Linked DNA regions of Sus scrofa. The protein of the gene in region 2 interacts with the protein of the main gene of each other region in a pairwise test. Links are inferred from orthologs where the notes say so. Each region holds a gene or a part of one and is shown on either strand. Other genes may lie near its edges. The genes, in order: MAU2 and NIPBL.

Region 1 (3,820 bases), on a different chromosome or scaffold from region 2:
GCCTGGGAACTTCCATATGCTGCAGGTGTGGCCCGCTCCCCCGCCCAACTTCAAAAAAAAAAAGAAAAGAAAAGAAAAGAAAAAGAAGAAGAAAGGGTGGAGACATGTAGCTAAATCTGAGATACTCTTGAGGAAGGATCCCAGGGCTAGGGGAGAATCAAAGGGATGAGGAGGTGCTGCAAGGGGAAGCTAGTGGGAGGGTACTTATCCTGCGAGGGCAAGCTCTGGACTATCTCTCCACCCCAGCTGCCTAGGACGCCAGAACAACCTAGGGGCCTATGCAGATGGCAGTCCAAGCTGTTGTTCCTCAGAACTGAGCTGCGAGGGCTCACTGACATTCTAGAACAGACAGCTCAAGGTAGAAGAAATTGTTGTTTTTTCCCTTTCAATCGCCCTGAGGCATATGGAAGTTCCTGGGACAGGGATGAGTCTGAGCTGGAGCTGTGAACTACTCCACAGCTGCAGCAATGCTGGATCCTTAACGCACTGTGTCCAGCTGGGGATTGAACTGGCGTCTCCACAGAGACAAGCTGGACCATTAATGCACTGTACCACAGTGGGAACTCCAAGTTGTTTCTGAGGGAACCAACAAAACTTGGCTCATTTTCAGTAGGGAGAAGGGTTCATTTCTGTTTTAGACTTAGCTTCCCCCAGCCATGACTATGCTCTGACTGCATGAGACACCTTGCTGGAAGGCAAGAACCCTGGGGTTACTGAGATTTACTGGTGCCCAGGACAATACTCCCCACCCCCCCCCTCCAAATAAGAGTTGAAAGAAAGGATACCAAACATGAAGCATGTCACCTACTACCTCTTGGTGTCTATTTCCTTCCCGTATATACACACTCGCCAGGTTGGTCACGATGAAGGCCCACAGCTCCTGGTGATTGGTGAGCTAGAATGGGAGACAAAACGTGGTAGGGGGCTGAGCTCAGCACAGTCATGTCAGAGAGGCTACTTGGAGGTATCAGAGTCATGTCTTTACTCTTTTCATCCCAAACACACAGACCTTGCCTCCAACATCCAGGAACAACAAAAACTGTTAGTTCTTTTCATTATAAAACCATCATCCATGTTATGGAGAATTCAGGAAACAGAGGAAGAAAAAAAAAAAAAAAAGCCTCCTTTGATCCTGCCCTCAGAACACATTACTGTTTGGGCTATTCTCTACTGTCTCAGTACTGACACATGGGTGGCCCATCCCTCCACACGACAGGTAGTGACCCCAGGATCCCAGCATATGCTGATACAGCAGAGGAACACGCTGGTCCTGCGGGAGGCAGGTCCCTGCCAGGAAGGCTGCTGAAGCTGTTAAGAGGCTAGACGGCTCATGGTGGACAGACCACTGTCCCCAGTACTTCTGGGGAACAAGAATGGCCACAAGAGAGACCAACCTGGATGGGCTGAGCTTTCCCAGTGGGGCTGAGAGAGCATAGCTGTGCAAGAGGCCAAGGGTGCCTAGGAAGCACAGACCACACCTGGAGGACCCTGGAAGGTGTCAAGAAGGTCCAGAGGGTCTCCTGACCAGAGCAAAAATACTCCAAGATATTTATCCCAGGACCACAGAAAAAGTATGTTTGGGGTCAGGGGGAAGCGGGGTTTGGGCTCTAGTCCTGGCTGCACCATCTTCCTCCTAGGCTGGTGGCAAGGACTCCCTGGGGCACACACCATTCATTGGGAATTCTGATGTTGAACCAAAAAAGTAGCAGCCATTTATAGGAAGTGGGATGGGGAAGAACTTCATAGGGCCATGGGCAATGTGGGCTGATCCTGACACACTGCAGTGAGCAGCAGCAGCTGACCAAGGTCCCAAGCAGCTGTGACAGGACTGGGAACCATGAGTGAGAGCAGCTGAACAGGCCATGGCACCGGCTGGAGCCTGCCTTGAACAGCTTCCCCATGGCTGCCCTCTTGAGTTGGCTGAGGAAACCCCGCCCCAAGCTGGCCAGAAACACCCTCGCTCATCAAGCTGTGCTGCCAGTGCTGGCCTCGTCTGCCTCTGAGTAGCCCAAGAAGGCCCTGCATAAATGGTACATCACGGTCACAGCAGGTGTCAGGCTGAAAGTTGTGGAGTCACCTGCTGACCATGGTTTTGTGTGGCTGTTGTCCTCATCACAGACCATACCCGACTGCTTACTGAGAAGCACCGCCTGCCCCATAAAGTGAGGGCCGGCACCTTACCCGCAAAGCTGTGGTGAACTGGGCTTCTGCGTTGTCCATGCAGTTGACAGAGACACAATACAGGCCCTGGAAAAAGAAGGTGCTGAGGGCTCAGAGCCACACGCAGCTTGCCCAGAGCTGCACGGCTGCACCCAGAAGAGCCTGACAAGTGGTGACTCTACTGAGCCAACTATATCTAAGCTTACTTTTTTTTTTCAGGGCCACACCTATGGCGCATGGATATAAGTTCCCAGGCTAGGGGTTGAATCAGAGCTATAGCTGCTGGCCTACACCACAGCCACAGCAACACAGGATCCAAACCATGTCTGCAACCTACACCACAGCTCATGGCAATGCTGGATCCCCGACCCACTGAGCAAGGTCAGGGATTGAACCTGCATCCTCATGGATACTAGTCAGATTTGTTTCCACTGCACCACAACAGAAACTCCCTATATCTAAGCTTTATCTTGACAAACTAGGAGGAAGATGGCCTGTTTAATTATTCCTGCCTCCTGGGACCAAAGTCAAGTTGGACTTGATGAAATGCTTGACAGAATGAGGCCCACTAGGAAGATTCTAAATCTTGCGTGGAGTGATGGATATGCAGTTATTCACTGAAAGGATTCAAGATCCTGACTGGGGTAGTGGTCAGAGGTTACTCACTGGGGTGGGGCCAGGGATGGATAGCCCTCACACACTCACCAGCAGTGTATGCAGCTGTGCTGCATGGTTGGAGAAGAGCCGGGGGGACTGCTGGCACAGCTGACAGACCTGGGAGATCTGCCGGGAGAGAGAATGTCTGATGTCACAGGGTCTGTAATGTGGGACCCAGTGTCCTGGCAGCAGTGGGGAGAGACCCAAAGCTGGTGGGTGTGCCCTTACCCCACAAAGGCACAAAGTCCCAGCAGATGTTCCCACTTGTGAGGATTAGGTGCAGCCTTGACCTCTTTGAGGCCAGTGACCCTAGTCTGTTACCCGTCTTCACCTCCCTTTCCAACTTGGGTCTCAGCCATACAGCACCTTCACCCTACTCAAGGCCCAGCACCCTTTCAAAAAGGTGGCAATCGGGGATTATGAATTACAGGACAGGAGGGGGTGTTAGGATTGTCATCAGAGGATTCTAAATCCCAAGACCCCATGTTCCTTGGGCATGCAAACTTTCAGGGAAAAAACAGTTTATCTGTATCAGATTCTCTGATCAACTGTGTCCAGGCAGGGCTATGGACTGCCAGGTTAAGCCAAATGACATACACAGACATGTCTTGCCGATACACACCGGACACATTTACACTCTCCTGTGTGACACCCTCCACAACCCAGCACACTCAAACCACCCTACCCCTCAGCCTTCCCATTCTGTGTGTGCAGCCTCCAGTGCCTTACCTCCTGCAGGGCAGTGGCCTTGTGTCCTGTGACGAGTCTGCACATGATGATGTGCTCGAGCAGGATCACTTGGAAGGAGGACAGAATGGGGCTGCAGTCGAGCACTGGGGGAGAGAGGCAGGAGTGAGCTCTTGAAATGCAGGTTGAGGAGACAACTGAGGAGACACTGACCTTGGGTCCTGACTGACTCCTGGGCCTTCGAGCCCTCCTGCACACCGGCACCTCAGCTACCTGGGGCTGAGCGCACTTGCTCTGCTAGGCGCTGGCCCAGCAT
Region 2 (3,395 bases):
TGAGTCAAGCGAGAGTGAAGAAGAAGTCTCCAGGCCTCGGAAGTCACGGAAACGAGTAGATTCCGATTCCGATTCCGATTCAGAAGATGACATAAATTCAGTGATGAAATGTTTGCCAGAAAATTCAGCTCCTTTAATTGAGTTTGCAAATGTCTCGCAGGGTATTTTATTGCTTCTGATGTTAAAACAACATTTGAAGAATCTCTGTGGCTTTTCTGATAGGTAAGATTATATAAGCATTGAAAGAAAACACTTTATTCTTTTCAAATAATAAACAAATATAAAACCCCCCTTTTTTTTTTTTTTTTTTTTGGTCTTTTGTCTTTTTAGGGCATACCCGCAGCACATGAGGGTTCCCAGGCTAGGGGTCAAATCAGAGCTGTAGCTGCTGACCTACACCACAGCCACAGCAATGCCAGATTTGAGCCACATCTGCGACCTATACCACAGCTCATGGCAACACCAGATCCTTAACCCACTGAGCAAGGGCAGGGATCGAACCCGCAACCTCATGGTTCCTAGTCGGTTTTGTTAACCACTGAGCCACAATGGGAACTCCTGAAACCCATTTTTGATTGCATGCTGAATATTAAAAATCCTGCTATTTAAAAAAGGAGTTTGTTCCTTTTTATTGCTATATAGCATTTTGTTGTATAATATGACATACTACTGTCCAATCTGTTATTGGGGAAAAACCGTATTCTCTAACTGAAGATATGCATTATAAATTAAAAGCCTTATTGTGTTGATTTCCTTTAAAAGGTATTAGAGAGTTAGGCTAATCTTAAAATAGATTGCAAATTTAAGTTTTTAAAGAGCAATGAATGAAGAAAAGGTGCAGACCAGCTAGACTGAGTTCTAACAGAACCCAGTAATCTTTAATATGCTCTAGGAGATAGAAAAGTACTAATAAATTGAGAATGCCTTATAAATTTTACCCACCAGTAGTCACTATAGGTATCTCTTTTCTCCCTGTACCTATGGAATTTTGAACATTTTTCACATTCATTGAAACCTTCTGAAGTCAAGTGTTCATAGGGATGATAGTGCAATGAGTAAAGTAGACCTGATAGAAGATCAGTGGCAAAATGGAAAGAACATGTTGCATCCAGAGGGTTCAGATGTTACTCAGATGTTCATCAGTTTGTTCCCATGAAAGAGTGGGTACAGTGTGGCCAGAGTTTCCATCTTTTCAAGAGAAGCTGGATAATCTAGATTTTCATGAGAAGTGACGATGTTAAATGTTGGCAACTACAGGCATACCTTGTTTAATTGCACTTTGCAGATATTGAGTGTTTTTTAAAAATTGAAATTTTGAGCAAAGTGTTGGGCAAGTCTAACGTCACCATTTTTCCAACAGCATTTGTTCACTTTGTGCCACTGTGTCACATTTTGGTAATTCTTAAAATATTTAAATGTTTTTCACTACTATTAAATTTTTTATGCTGGTCTGTGATCCTGATCTTTGTTGCTATTGCAAAAAGATTACAATTCACTGAAGGCTCAGATGATAGCTTTTTTTGTTGTTGTTGTCTTTTTGCCATTTCTTGGGCCGCTCCTGCGGCATATGGAGGTTCCCAGGCTAGGGGTCGAATCGGAGCTGTAGCTGCCAGCCTGCGCCAGAGCCACAGCAACGCAGGATCCGAGCCGCGTCTGCGACCTACACCACAGCTCACGGCAACACCGGATCATTAACCCACTGAGCAAGGGCAGGGATCGAACCCACACCGTCATGGTTCCTAGTTGGATTCGTTAACCACTGCGCCACGACAGGAACTCCCAGATGATAGCATTTTTTTAGCAGTAACTTTTTTTTTAGTTAACCTGTGTGTTGTTTCCAGACATAATGCTATTGCACACTTAATAGACTAGTATAGTGTAAATGTAAATAATTTTTATACACACTGGGAAACCAAAAAATTTGTGTGATTTGTTTTATTGTGGTATTTGCTTTATTGCAATGATCTGGAACCAAATGCACAATGTCTCCAAGGTATGCCTGTAATTCAGAATGATTTAAAACATTGTTAAGTCTTGGGGAAGTACTAAGGAGTTGGAAAGATTTTGAAACAGTTGTTAAGACTGTGAAACAGGTTTGTAAACCGTCACTCTGGCTGCTGTACAGAGAATGAATAGTTGGGGCACAAAAAAGTGAAACAAGGTAAATCAGTTAGGTAGTATTGAGAAAGTATATTAAAACTGTCCCACATGGAATTACCGCTCTGGCATAGTGGGATTGGCGGTGTCTCTGGAGCACTGAGACGCAGATTCGATCCCTGGCCTGGCACAGTGGGTTAAGGATACAGCCGCAGCTGTAGTGTTGGTTGCAAGTGTGGCTCGGATCTGATGCGTTTTTTTTTTTTAAACCTTTGTTTTTATGTATTTGCTTTCCTTTTTTTAATTACACTTAATGTTATATATACAGTTTCACTGGTTGAAATCTAAATGATAGAAAGTTTAATTATAAGTAAATAAAATTTAACTGGAATCAATTTTAATGTAAGTACCTGGGAAAAAATGTTAAATTAATGATTTTATTTTCCCAAAACAGTAAAATTCAGAAATACTCTCCATCTGAATCTGCAAAAGTGTATGATAAGGCGATAAACCGAAAAACAGGAGTTCATTTTCATCCCAAACAAACACTGGACTTCCTGCGGAGTGATATGGCTAATTCCAAAATCACTGAAGATGTGAAGAGGAGTATAGTAAAACAGTATCTAGATGTAAGTAGTAAAACTGAAAAATGTTTCCTTCTGATAATAGCATTTGTAAAGTAAATTCTTTTGAGAGAAATAGCTACCTCCTTTACATTGAAGGTAAGCTTTATGAACCATTAATTTTATCTCTATAGTTCTAATGAGTTACTTTGAGCTTGCCTTTCCCATTTCACGCACTGCCCCATCATTGTTTTTTCTTAGGAAATGCCAGCCTACCAATAACTTTATTTTAGTGAAAAGTTTTTTGTTTTTGTAGCTTATGGCAAAGACAGAAACTTAACCCACTGAATAAGACCCCTCATCGTCACAGACACCACATTGGGTTCTTCTTTTTTTTTTTTGGCCACTCCACAACATATGGAATTCCTGGGCCAGGGATCAGATCTGAGCCACAGTTGCAACCTGTGCCACAGCTGCAGCAACATTGAATCCTTAACCCTCTGTGCTGGGCTAGGGATTGAACCTGCATCCCAGAGCTCCAGAGATGAGAACTCCAGTAAGCTGCGTTGGGAACTCCATATTTTAGCTAAAAGTTTTTAGGCAAGTTTTAGGGAAAAGCTATGCCCATATATGTGTTTGCTTGTTTTTTTTTAACATAGTGGATTACATGGTTTGTACTTCATAAAAGAAAAAACCATGATAAGTCATCCTTCTACCCTCTTCAGCCATGAGGAC

What was found.
Region 1: the proteins of NIPBL (region 2) and MAU2 interact in binary tests that used the Homo sapiens proteins (3 or more experiments, as listed by UniProt). The link is inferred for Sus scrofa from reciprocal best matches to the Homo sapiens genes NIPBL and MAU2.

Annotation. Positions count from the first base shown.
Region 1 is NC_010444.4:58,546,485-58,550,304, forward strand, and holds part of MAU2 (MAU2 chromatid cohesion factor homolog), read right to left. Parts: intron 3,651-3,820; coding exon 3,547-3,650; intron 2,944-3,546; coding exon 2,866-2,943; intron 2,248-2,865; coding exon 2,182-2,247; intron 896-2,181; coding exon 809-895; intron 1-808. UniProt on the Homo sapiens protein: Plays an important role in the loading of the cohesin complex on to DNA. Forms a heterodimeric complex (also known as cohesin loading complex) with NIPBL/SCC2 which mediates the loading of the cohesin complex onto chromatin.
Region 2 is NC_010458.4:22,358,162-22,361,556, forward strand, and holds part of NIPBL (nipped-B-like protein), read left to right. Parts: coding exon 1-222; intron 223-2,551; coding exon 2,552-2,726; intron 2,727-3,395. UniProt on the Homo sapiens protein: Plays an important role in the loading of the cohesin complex on to DNA. Forms a heterodimeric complex (also known as cohesin loading complex) with MAU2/SCC4 which mediates the loading of the cohesin complex onto chromatin.